Regions from separate parts of the Mus musculus genome. Here all the other regions are reported to be linked to region 1. The links are microRNA targets in miRTarBase. Many come from high-throughput screens and were not tested one by one. Region 1 holds a microRNA gene; each other region holds the end of a gene's coding sequence.

The links. Region 1 holds the annotated microRNA mmu-miR-15a-5p (UAGCAGCACAUAAUGGUUUGUG, at 998-1,019, opposite strand). A microRNA usually pairs through its seed, bases 2 to 8, with sites in the 3' UTR of a target mRNA and lowers its output. Matches are read on the target gene's strand: a 7mer-m8 pairs with bases 2 to 8, a 7mer-A1 pairs with bases 2 to 7 and ends in A, and an 8mer does both.
Region 2: the mRNA of Map9 is a reported target of mmu-miR-15a-5p. Seed matches in the 3' UTR shown: 7mer-m8 at 1,368-1,374 and 7mer-m8 at 3,047-3,053.
Region 3: miRTarBase lists Brms1l as a target of mmu-miR-15a-5p. Seed matches in the 3' UTR shown: 7mer-m8 at 1,327-1,333.
Region 4: miRTarBase lists Sel1l3 as a target of mmu-miR-15a-5p. Seed matches in the 3' UTR shown: 8mer at 1,451-1,458.

What each region holds. Positions count from the first base shown.
Region 1 is chr14:61,631,078-61,634,261 of GRCm38, forward strand. Mir15a (microRNA 15a) reads right to left here and starts at 1,033; the gene lies at 950-1,033. It overlaps Dleu2 (deleted in lymphocytic leukemia, 2), which reads right to left. Exons shown (of 7, transcript NR_028264.1): 4 at 1,360-1,406. It overlaps Mir16-1 (microRNA 16-1), which reads right to left and starts at 895; the gene lies at 803-895.
Region 2 is chr3:82,390,841-82,394,024 of GRCm38, forward strand. It overlaps Map9 (microtubule-associated protein 9), which reads left to right. Exons shown (of 14, transcript NM_001081230.1): 14 at 288-3,184. The coding sequence ends at 410. Among named protein-coding and RNA genes, the nearest start is that of Map9, 34 kb to the left of the region's middle.
Region 3 is chr12:55,867,714-55,870,897 of GRCm38, reverse strand. It overlaps Brms1l (breast cancer metastasis-suppressor 1-like), which reads right to left. Exons shown (of 10, transcript NM_001037756.3): 10 at 1,162-2,736. The coding sequence ends at 2,619. Among named protein-coding and RNA genes, the nearest start is that of Brms1l, 33 kb to the right of the region's middle.
Region 4 is chr5:53,105,454-53,108,637 of GRCm38, reverse strand. It overlaps Sel1l3 (sel-1 suppressor of lin-12-like 3 (C. elegans)), which reads left to right. Exons shown (of 24, transcript NM_172710.3): 24 at 464-1,555. The coding sequence ends at 603. Among named protein-coding and RNA genes, the nearest start is that of Gm17182, 58 kb to the right of the region's middle.

The DNA of each region.
Region 1 (3,184 bases):
TCAGTGCTCCATCTGTGGATCCAACCAACCACACATTCAAAACATTTGGGTGGCCAGGCATTGGGGCCTACAGTTTTAAACAAAGAATTTGGGAGGCGGAGGCAAGAGGATCTCAGTGAGTTTCATGGCAGCCTGGTCTACATGGTGAGACCCAGGCTCAAAAGACCAAACCAAAAAACTTATTTCTTGGACAAAAACTGCATTAGTACTGAATTGTACAGTTTTTTTCTCATCATTAAGAGAATAACTTGAATAATACAACTATCCATGTTAACATCCCACTGCACTACACATTAAAAACAATGTAGAGATAAGTTTAAATAAGTATAAGGGAGGATATGCACTGGTCACGAGCAGACATTTTATACAGGAGATCCAAGCATTTACAAATCTGGGTATCTAGAAGTCCTATAATCAGTTCCTCACACAGAAGTCATTATGTTTTGTTTGTTTTTAAAAGACAGATCCTTACATAGGTCTTAGACTTGCTTTATGGCCAAGGATGATGTTAAGCCTCTAATTCTCTTTTTTCCACTTCCTCAGATCTAGGATTACAAGTGTACCTGGTATGCAGTGGTAAGGCTAAAACCCATGGCCTTGTGCATGCTAGCAAGAAGCACTTGGCCAACTGAGCTGCATTACCATCCCACAATTATATAGTATTTTAACAGACACAATATGTAGAGCGTTGTTACTAACATCATTACAGAATCATACCAAACATAAAATCACTAATGCAATTAGAAAAACCGTGTAAACACACAAGTAACATCAATACACATTGAATTACAGTTGTAGAGTATTGCCAACCTTACTTCAGCAGCACAGTCAATACTGGAGGTAATTTCAGAATCTTAACGCCAATATTTACGTGCTGCTAAGGCACCGCTGACATTGCTATCATAGGAGCTATGAATAAAAAGACAGGTACTCTCTTCAGAAGATCAGGTCCTTGTATTTTGAGGCAGCACAGTATGGCCTGCACCTTTTCAACATCCACAAACCATTATGTGCTGCTACTTTACTCCAAGGGTTGGTTTTGAAAACTCCTAGCACCTCAATAGTAATTTACAGAAAAGGCTTTTTAGGAAAAAGTAGAACACATAAAATCTATGTTTGAAAAAAATCTAACACTGGTATGTGCATAATTTTATAGGCTTTCAGCAGAATAAAAAGTATTTCCATATCATAAGTTTAATAAAAGCGTACAGAAAACTTAATACAGTGCTGTAATTTATTGTAGTCATGAAACGAGAAAAGCAAGTCATTTTCCCATACCAACTTAAGAACCTCATTTATTAAACTAACAACTTTTGAATGTGCTTAACACATGAAATAGCTACAAAAGTTGGTTTTTACCTTATTAAGAGCAGCACATCTTTCAAAGCCAAATCCATAGGACAAAGCTTCATGTTAAAGGAAACATGTAAGAACAAACATGTAAGAGCTCAGTTTCAAGAAATTTATACTAGCAAAATATTTAGAAGACATACACATGAAACATATTCCCCAAAAATATATAACCCCCAATCTACACATGAACACAAGATTTATCTCAATATTGGAATAGTTATTGTGAGTTCAGTGTCATTTATTATTACCCAGAACATCATCTTAGGATAACAGGTCTATTTGGTTTCCTAAAAGGATATATCAGAAATCCTGTAGCTCAAGCCTAAGTAACCATTTGTGTGTTTCCCAGTTAAAAAGGCTAGTCCTTTAAAGGAGTATCATTTTATACCACAGGACTTTGACTTAGCTGAAACAAAATTTTTACTACGTTAAGTTCCAACTTCATTTTATGTGTGTGTGAATATCTAGGTTTTCTTACACTATTAAGAAGACTCTTTTCTGTTTAGTGGGGGACTTAGCCATCCCTTCACAAAGAACTGTTCTTATTATTCCAGTTCATACCAGATTTTCCATTCAAACTAGATTACTGTGTAGCAAATGTTTTCTAGTGGGTCAATGCCATTTCTCCATTCCCGTTCATGTTGGGTCATTTGAAATATCAAAACGTCTTTAAATCTTCAAACCTTTGCTTTCAAGTGTGCCAGCTTAAAAAAAAAAAGTCTGAAAATAAAGATAAAAGCTGCTAAAAGTGATTTTGTCCTTTATCTTTATACAATGATTATAATTTCAAATTCAGTGGTTTTTTGAGAGAGGTTTTGAGGACAGTGGCTGCTGTCCTGCAATTCATTCTATAGACCAGGCTGGACTGGAACTCAGAGATCTATCTGCCTGGTTTCCCTCCTGCATGCTAGGATTAAAGGCGTGCACCATCATGCCCCGTTCCAAATTCAGTGGTTTATATTCTGGCCTAAGGACCAAAATAATTTTTCTTTGTTGGGTTTTTACATAGTTCAACTTTTTACTAATGTTCTTAAAAGGAAAAAAAAGCCATTCTGAAAAGAAAACAAAATGTTTTGCTTAAGAAGGTAACTTGAGTGTACATAGGAATACATGGCAATCTTTAAATACCTGAAATTAATATTATTCGTATAAGAAAACAGAATTTTACAACAATTTAAGAAGATAGATCAAACCAAATTGTCCTATTTCCCCCTTCAACTCTATTTGTTTCCATTAATATTTTTCTTTAGAAACATTTACTTTTTACCTTATAAAACTTCTAATATTAATTCATCTTGTTTCCATAAAGCTTAGCACTTCACAAACATTTATAGGCATGTTGCCCAAGCTATATCATCATCTTGACTGCATCAGAATAATGGGATACTTTTTGAATTTAATAATAAGCAACCAGTAATTTGTTGGAGCACAATGACAGAATACAGAATCTGAGGTCCGAACCCTGACACTGTCCTTTGAGTGTCTCCCATGGCTGTTATTCTAGTACACTGACCCTTTCTGGTTCCCTATCTGCAAATGAACCATTAACATACATATAAGCCTTTGTAGGACGCTTCTGAACCATAGCCATCTTATGAAGTTGTCTAAGAACATGGAGAAAACACTACCAGGTTTAAGTTCTGATGACAGAGCAACAATTCTCAGGGCACAAAAAATCTACTTAAATAGCAAAGCTAAAGGCATGAAATACTGCAACAAATTTGGGAAGTTAAAAGCTGGGTATGTTAATATCTTTGATGTGGCAATAATGCCACTATAAAATCTTTGGAACTGTTTCTTCTCTAAACATTTTAAATTCCTAGTTCTAAAA
Region 2 (3,184 bases), not on the chromosome of region 1:
GTCCTCCTTGACTGTGTAGTGATTTGGTGCTAGACCATGCTTGATGAGAGTCTCTCTCAAAAGACAAACAAGATGATGTGACATTCATATAGATTCATAGTAAATCCGTATATAATCATGCAAATCAGCAATATTCCCTAGCTGCTTGTTTATCACTAACTAAACAACTAATTGTATACGGGGATCTTAAAATGAATTATTTTCTTCTAATAATCCGATTTAATAGCAAGTTCACGTAGTATATATAAACTTAGAGTTTTCTGTTGTCCACCCCCCCCCCCTTTTAGGAAAAGAAAGAAAGGCAAGAAAGAATTGAACGGAAACAGAAGAAGCGCCACTCCTTCCTTGAGAGCGAGACACACCCACCATGGAGTCCTCCGAGCAGAACTGCGCCCTCAAAAGTATTTTGATGTTTCTGGTTCTTGATTTTTTTTTCAGTTCACCAACTGTACTCATGGATTTAAAACGAGTCATCTCATTATTTGTGGTTAGAAGACTCTATGTCACTTCCCTGCAGGAGCTTCTGTGGAGCATGAAAGAGATACTTTGCAGTTTAATCAGTGGAAACATTTTCTGAAGTGTCCTCATCAGTTTGCTGGGACAATCCAGACGCATGAAGCTTTATTATGACCTGAACAGTCTGGTGTGGGGTGATTCGTGGTCACTGTCGCTGAGTTCGGAGTCTTTTTAAAGAATGTTTGATCCCACTAATGAAAGAATGCCAGCTAGATACCACAATCGTAGAGATGACTCGGTCTGTGGAAGTCTGTGCTTCTAGAGTGTAGTTTGGGCATTGAAGGTCCCTGGAGACCATGGGCATGTTATCTCTTCTAACTCCAGTTCTTCAGGTCACAGAAGTATCTTTGCTGTGCAAGTTATCGACTCAGTCAGTTGAGGCCACAGAACTCTAGTCAGTCACTTTAGTAAAGAACTTTGCCATAGGGTTTAATCTCGGTGTGGTTTGCCTTCTTGAGGCTTACCTGACAATCGTAGCCACCTCTATAATGGGCTCACTTCTGGAATGTTCTTTCTAAAGCCCATCTCAATATCTTTATTATTTGATTGACACCAAAATCAGTTTGATGGTAGTGTTTTCTTATAGAGTAGTTGTGAAAACTTCAAGGTGACTATCAAAGTTTTTCTAGACTAAAGTTATAAAGGTAATGAAAATAACTCCCATTTTCTTAACTAATTAAGACTGGTTCAACCTGCATATGGAAGCGGTTGAATGAGAAAGTAAATTTGTAAAAATATTCAAGATTGTTTATTTATTTATTATTTATTTATTTATTTGACCTTTACTTCTCCCTGTATCAACTGGTCCTATACTTGACTGGCCATCTCTTAAAACAGACAAATTGTTGGGATGCTGCTGTAGGCAATCATGCAATGCAGAGACAATCAATGGAAAACCTAGTTGCTATGGTTCTCTTAGCTCTTATGTCATCTCTGCTGGACCTTTATAGATGCGATTTGTCAACTTTGTTGGAGCTGTTCAGGGTAGCTATTACTAGCTTTATTGTGCAGATAAAAAGACTGGGACTTAGGAAGTCCAAACTAACTTGCCATTCAGCTAACATGTGAGTGGTGGGGACCAGAACTTCACATCTCCCTTGAAGCCTATGTGACCTCAGAGACTGTGACCTTGCAAATGCTTGTCACTCCCAAGGGTGTAAAGTCAGGCAATGTTGGTTGGACATGCCCATTTTCTTACATCTATAAAATGAAATAAGGATTCATGGGATTTAAGGTATTCATCACATATCTAATAAATACCAACAAAGCCAGCAGCTTGTGTTAAGACCCACTAAGCAGTATTGAATCGTGGGATGTGCACAAAACAGGATGTCATGAGCTGCTTCGCAGCATCACGGAGCAGATGGACTCACATACAAGACTGCCAGAAGTGGTCACTGAAAGCATTATCAGCAGTGTGCTGTCTGTCTGGGATTCAGGACTCACATTTGTGTGGTTTCCTACAACTGCAAACAATCAAGCCTGCGAGAATAGAGTGATAAGGGAATCTTGAAGTAAATTGGAAGCGATAAAAAAAAAATGTTTGCACATTGTAAGGAACTCAAAGGAAGATGAGACAAAGGTGTAGCTGCTTCTAGGGATCAGAAACCACCAGGTGTGCACTTCCACTCCCGGACAACTTTCTACAGTGTTGTGTTTGTTACCGCTGTTAGCGCCTAACTAAATCATGTCGAATGGCCGATTTAAGTCATCTAAAGTATTTGGGACATAAGGACTTAGTAAACATTCATTGTTATCATTTATTTACTACATCTCCCCACCACGGACATGTGGGATGAGTAGAACAGTAGTCACTTGGCCTACATTTGTGGCATACAGAAAAACTCAGTCTGCTGGTCCATCTCTGACTTACCTGTCACCGGCAAGCACTGCCTGAGACAGGACCCTCTGAGAAGACAACTCCATACTGCTTTCTTGAGATCGCCTCTGAAGAGAATGAAGTGACCAATGAAGATGAGCCCAATGGGCCCAAAGCCATTTCCTCAAACGTGATTTAGGATGGGTCTATTTATAGAGCAAGTAATAGTTTTCTCCCCTAAACTTAACCTGTACTCAACCTGTGCGGGATTTATGGTTAAATCAGATTTGACCCTTTCTACTGCAGTGAATGTAGAGCAGAGCTTTGGACAGTGGGTGCGCATCCAGTTCTGGAATGTGGCAGTCTGAATTACAGAGGAAAGAAGCAAGCCTGGTGAGATGGTCCTAATATGTTTGCCTATTTAAGAAATAAGACTTCTTCTGCATTTCCTTCAAAAGTACCAAATATCAATATAGATTTATAAATAATAATAAACAAAACTCTGACGTGAAAGTTAGTTCCATAGTAGCAAAAAGATAGCACACACATTACAAGGAATAAAACGGTTCTTTAGAAGAGTTCAAGTTTCCTTAAGGAAATCTGCCAAGAACAGCTCGGATAACAGTATTCCAGCAGCCTGCGCGTCACACTTGGAGGTGCCGGTTCACTAGTTGGTTTAGGCTGTAAAGATAGCAGCGGGGTTTACTGTTTTGCTGCTGGTTTTACTGACAAAGCACTACCTTGTAGGAGCTTGACAGCTACAGCTGGATGTTCCTTGGCGTGATGTAGCTTGTACTCAATCTGGACTAGATAGACTCTATTTCTATGTTGAGTCACCTGATGCCCAAC
Region 3 (3,184 bases), not on the chromosome of region 1:
TCAAAGATTAAATGTCCATAGGTGTGTGGGTTTCCTTGTGAATCCTTGATTCTATTACATTCATCAACCTGTCTGTCTCTGTACCAATACCATGCAAATTACTTTGTAGTACAACTAGAAGTCAGGGATGGTGAATACCCTAAAGTTCTTTTTTTGCTATCCTGGGTTTTTTGGTTTTTCATATGAAGTTGAGAATTGCTCTTTCCATGCCTGAAGAGTTGTGTTGGAACTTTGATGGAGATTGCATTGAACCTGTAGATTGCTTTTGGTAAGGCAGACAGTTTCACTATGTTAATCCTATCCATGAGCATGGGAGATCTTTCCATCTTCTGGGGTCTTAGGCAAAATGCCTAACATTGGGGAGAGGGCACTCAACAAGTCCCACCTCCAATAGATAGACAGGGCCTCAAGTAGAGGGACTGGGTTACTAACCCACAGTCAAAATTCCTGTCTCAGAATTGTTCCAGTCTAAAAGAACTGCAGAGACAAAAATGGAGAAGAGACTGAAGGAAAAGTGGTCCAATGACCATCCCAACTTGATCTCCATCTCATGGGCAGGGGGTGGGTGGAGGGCACCAAGGCCTGACACTATTACTGATGCTATGATGTGCTTACAGACAGGAGCCTGGCATGGCTGTCCTCTGAGAGGCACTATCTGCAACTGACTGAGACAGATGCAGACACTTACAGCCAACCATTTGAATTGAAGTTCCTCCAATGGTTGAATTAGGGGAAGAATTAAAGAAGCAGAAGCGGAAGCAAAAAGTGACCACACAGGAAAACCAGCAGTCTCAACTAACCCAGACTCCAGGGAGCTCCCACCAACCAGGAGCACACATGGGCTGGTCCAAGGCTCCTGGCACATATACAGATATTAAAGTTTTCATGGTAAGTGTGAGAAATAAATCTTTAAATTTTTTTCTGGTTAAAATTTCAAAATAGAGTACACTTATTAAAGTATAACACAACTGCATGTGTGTTTTTAGTTAAATATAACTTAGCTTCTTGAACACCTACATATGCTTCATAGAGGTGCACGTATGGGAAGCCGAGCAGAAGCCCTTCCCCAGCACAGAGGGCCTGCTGACGTCAGCACAAGCAAGAGGACTGGGTATAAACAACTGAACTTGAGTATGAATAAGTAACACACAACACTACAAATGACGCTCAAACACTTCTTTTTATTACATACTAAATTTAAAAATACAAATCTCATTAAAAATGCTTATCAAACATCATATATATATATATATTTATAAGCACTGCCAAATGCTACTGGATTGGGACAGTCTGCACAGCCGCTAAGGGTGATCAGAAACAGAACAGAGCAGCACAATGTTGCTGATACTGAACTTCGAAAGTCAGATGGTTACAATTTGGCAACTGTGGAGTATACCTGCAGGGAATGTCTGCAGAGGTGAAGTCATAAGGAACTAACGGAATCATGCAGAGACTCCTTTGAGGAGTGTTGAGTGAGTCTTCCTCATCCTCTTAAATACACTGTAACAGAAATTAAAGTGCATGAGACCAGCAGAGCACTTCATTTGGCTGTACCCTGCGTACACACTGTAGCCCACTGTGCCTCCGGGCTGAGGGCTCCGGTTTCCTGCACAGTTCCAGAGGCTTCCAAGTTCATTCTGAATATGGCTAAGGGAAGGGAGGCCAACATTTTCTAAATTGCACCAAATGGCCTTAAAGTGTTAAAAACACTTAAAAAAAAAAGCTAATTTGGGGGATGGTAGAGTTAAGGGAAGTATCTATATGTATTCCACTCTAGCAATAAAATTAGAATAAGGATCTAGTTTTGCCTCTAGATAATGCTTAGTAAAATCTTCAAAAGTTCAGATGTGCAGAAAGCACGACAATACTGCCAGCCACTTGTCACTCTGGCACTGCGCATCATAAACACCAGGCAGGATACCTGCCCCTCTAAAAGCTCAGAAGAAACACAGGCAGCAACATGGTCACACTTGACACACTGCTACTAATAAACACCAAATATGATCTGCAAAAGAGGTCACCGCCATCCAGGAAGAAGAGAAGGAAAAGCAGTCTAGAAAAGTGCTCCCTTTTCTTCGAAAACCCAGCAGTTGAATTTGGGGTAAAAGGAGGTTGTACAGGTAGGCCATCAGTTCTAAGCCTGCTGGGGACACTGTATAGACGCACTCACACATGTATGTATAAATTTCAGTTCTGATTGAAACGAATGCACTAATAGAAATCATTCATAGGAAGTCTTCCATCTGTACAAACACAAGAGTGGCAGCGGAGGCGGGGATTTAAAACTGCAGGCGACTGCACGGTAGTCCATTAGAGGTGAGACACACTCACGTGAGTAAGACACAGAATGAAGCAACACTGAGAAAGAAATACATACCAAACAGACCTGTTGGCACGGGACCTGCGAGGCAAATAAACGCGATGGTCATGATTAGAGTTTATCACTATTTCTCTTAATGACTTACTAATGTGGGGTCTACTTGGAGTACTACCTAGAAGACACAGTCTCTCATGACTGGATGAAATTATTAAGCTGCTGAGTGCATTCTCTTGGCTTCCATGGCACATTACACTTGGTAACACTAACAAGGTAGATGTGGGGAACACTTAGAGCGTGATTACGAATGTTTAATTGAGTATTTTCCTTTCTGTAGCTGTGAAATGTAAAGCTTAGATTTGCTTCCATCAGGCCTCTTAAACCAAACTTCATCATGGTTAATTGTTGTAATTACAGCACTAAAAAAGAAAATAAAAAGAATGAATTACAATGCGGCTCATTTCATTTCCATTTATTTTATTATTACTGGGGGTTGATTTCTCTTTTCTTTTTCCTTATATTTTTAAAGACATGCCCTTCTAGCCCAGGTTGGCCCTGAGCTTGCCTTCCCTCTGCCTCCACCCGGTTTATACTAATCTTCAGATTACCAGCTTAGAAACACGGTTTCATATCAGCTACAGTAGGCTCAGCACGTTTACTTACCAGTTGCTGTGCTATCAACACAAATGTTGTTATCTAGAGAAAAAGGTGTTTCTTACTGTAGAAAGCTGATACTCTTAAGAATTTACCATAAAGGATGAAGGCAGTAATTCATTAATACTTCCAAAAGATCACAGCAAGATAATTTATAGGCTATATAAACAATTATATAAACCATAAGTCTAGATTACCACTTAAAAACACAAT
Region 4 (3,184 bases), not on the chromosome of region 1:
TGTTTTGTACAATTATTTAAATAAAATAACTTGGGCTGAATTTGACACACAATCCAAATGGGATAAGAATGTAAATAAAACTAGCCCTCCTCTGACTGTTTGACACTACTCATGGTTGTATTATATTGACATCATGGGTCAGGGGGAGGGAATAGGATCATAGCTCACAAAACTTATCAAAGTGATCACAGCAACCATTTGCCTGGAAATCCTGGAAGACACGCAGTGGCTTAGAACTGTAGGACATGAGAACCATCAGGGATCTTTACAGAGCTATTCCAACCTGGTATTTTATAGAAGGGAACACAAAAGTCCAAAGAACCTAGATAATGGTCCAAGGTTGTCTATTTACCTAGACTTTGGGCCACCAGCCAAGGAGCACCTCCTCCTGCTTACTGGGTGGGGCTTGGTGTTCCACAGGGGCTTCTTTCAAATGTTCAACTCTGTTTTTATGTCTCCGCAGCCAGTGGCTCCTCTCCAGCACCAGCCTGGGTCTCGGCAGACCCCACCTCATCCACCCCAAGTCCAGCTGTGCCTCCGGCTGCAGATGCCTCCGACCACGACCCACCCATGATGGCTAACGGCCCTGAGCCTCGTGGGTGAACTGTGCGCCCCTGGTCTCTCCAGCTGAGAGACGGTCCTTTTAGCAGCTGGTTTGGGAAGGCTGGTGCCAGGCGTTACACTGATAAATACCTTAAAAGTCTTGTGAACTGGATGCCAACTTTGCACTTGGTGTCTTTTTGTTTATGTTTAAACAAGAACATAGGCAGAGCAGACTGTAGTTATCCAACAGATTCAAGGGTTACCCGGAAAACAGGGGAATCGGGGGAGGCGAGCTGAGGCTTTGGACTTTCCTTCCTGGTGACTGTTCTGGGAACCGCAGTCCATATGTGGAGCGTCCATATAGAGTCATTTTTAAAAGTTTTAGTCTGTCTTCATCCCCTTTTACCAGAGAATAGGAACTTATCTCCAAGGCTGACTGACGATGCTTCAGTACCTCTGTTTGCCACCGCATCCTGCTCCGCAAAAGCCCAGCTGGTTGCTCTCTGAGTCCCAAATCCAGCAGCTAGAAGGAGCCTTGAGACAAACACTCCACACACAGGGAAGGCGATAACATTGTACATTGGTTTACATTTTTTCCCCCTGTGGATTTTTCTAGAGGTCATAGTGCTTCCAAATCATTTGATGACATTATTGGGTATCGTTTATGTTTCCATCATAACACATGCAATAACATCTAGGAAATCTTTACCGTTTAAGTGTAGTCTGCTTCCCCATGAGTCACCATTAGAATAGACTGGCAGCAATGGAATACGCAGACAAAAAACAAGCTGTTAGTTCATAGGTTCATCACCACCCCTTATGCCTGCCTGTGTCTGTATAGGTGTGTGTGTGTGAGAGAGAGTGTGTGTAAGAGGACAAAAAAAGAACAGAGTGTCTGTGCACTGTATGCTGCTACAGTAGTAAATAAATCAGTAACGCAATACTGTGGGTTCAAACTATCTTTGCACTACTTTATTTACAGTAGTAAATAAAATTATTTTTCTACAGTTGACTACCAGGAAGTGGCTTCTTTTCTTGTTCATTGTCACTGTGGTCGTTATTCAAAGTGCTAAGGTCAGAGTGTTCTCCTTAGGAGCCTCCCCACCCCCAACACACAAACCAACACCCTACAGGAAAGCGATTGTCCTGCTAACCATTGACAACTGTGGAAGAGAAGGTGGCAGGAAGCTCCCTTCCAAGAATTCGAAGCCTGCATCTGTGATGTTTGCCCAGCCTCACACTCTGTCAGGGCTGAAATGAGTGTTTCCTTGAATTCTAGATTAACCTTTCAGTTTGCCCCCTCTCTCCCATGTGTACTGTTCTCATTTGAGCAAAAATTATCTCAGCCATTTGTAAACGAGCCAGACTTCGGGGTCTAATAATCCTGGTCCTGCAACTTACTCAGTAATGCTGGGATTAGCCCTCCTTGGGCTTCATACTCTTGCGCTATGAAATGAGGATTTAAATTTTTTTTAAAATCTACTTCTTGGGCATCTCACAAGGCTTAAGTGAGATTTTGTGTGTTTGTCTCTGTCTCTGTCTCTCTCTCTGTCTCTCTCTCTGTCTCTGTCTCTCTCTCTCTCTCTGTCTCTCTCTCTGTGTGTGTGTGTGTGTGTGTGTGTGTAGCCCACAAGAAAGTGCTCTGAGTACAGGTCTGTCGTGCTGTTGGGGCAAGAAATACAAAAAGCTCTACAAGGCACTAGGCTCTGCCTCAGACCTCTGTCGAGAGCAAGCACACCCATTCCCTATGTGCTGGCACCATTCCCTGTGACTGCTGACAGCTCACAGCTGCACTATCCAGTGGGTCACACACACTTGCAAGGATATCCCATGTCCCGTTGCTCATGGACGTAGGAGCAGTTTCCCAGTCTTGTCTTCATTGGTTACTTTTCTGTTTCTGTGAAAGAACACCATGATCAAGAGCAACTCAGGGAAGAAAGAGTTAATTTTGGCTTACAGTTTCAGGGGATAAGAATCTGCATCACGGAAGAAAGTTAAGACAGTAAGTGATAGGTACGGAGGCTGGGAGAAGACATCTTCAATATAAACTTGAACCAGAGAGAGTGAGCTGGAAATGAGATGAGGCTTTGAATTCCCAAGGCTTGGCCCAGCGACATAACCTCCTTCAGCAATGCTATACCACAACACCAAACAGCGCCACCAACTGGAGACCAAGCATTCAATTACCCGAGTCTGTGAACCACACTGTGGCTATTGCTATTTGGACACAACAGCAGGGTGGGCATAGTGCCAGGTAGCAGGAGCAGGAAGCTGAGAGATCACCTCTCCAGTCATACACAGAGAACAAATTGGAAGTAGGTCAAGGCTATTAACTCTCGAAACCCACCCTGCGTGACATACTTAAACTCTCGAAACCCACCATGAGTGACATACTTCCTCCAGTAAGCCACTGCCTTCGAAAGGTTCCACAACTCTCCCAAACAACATCACCAGCTGGGGACTAAGTCTTTAAAATATATGAGCCTGTGGAGAACATGTTTTCATCCAAACTACCATACGTATCTTCTCTGAGATGTCCTATGTTCTTCTGCACAGTTTGAACGTATCCAGGCATCTGCATGTGCCCTGGAGAGAGATGCACATGGGGTAAGGAGAGGGGGGTGTTGGGATACAGGTGTTA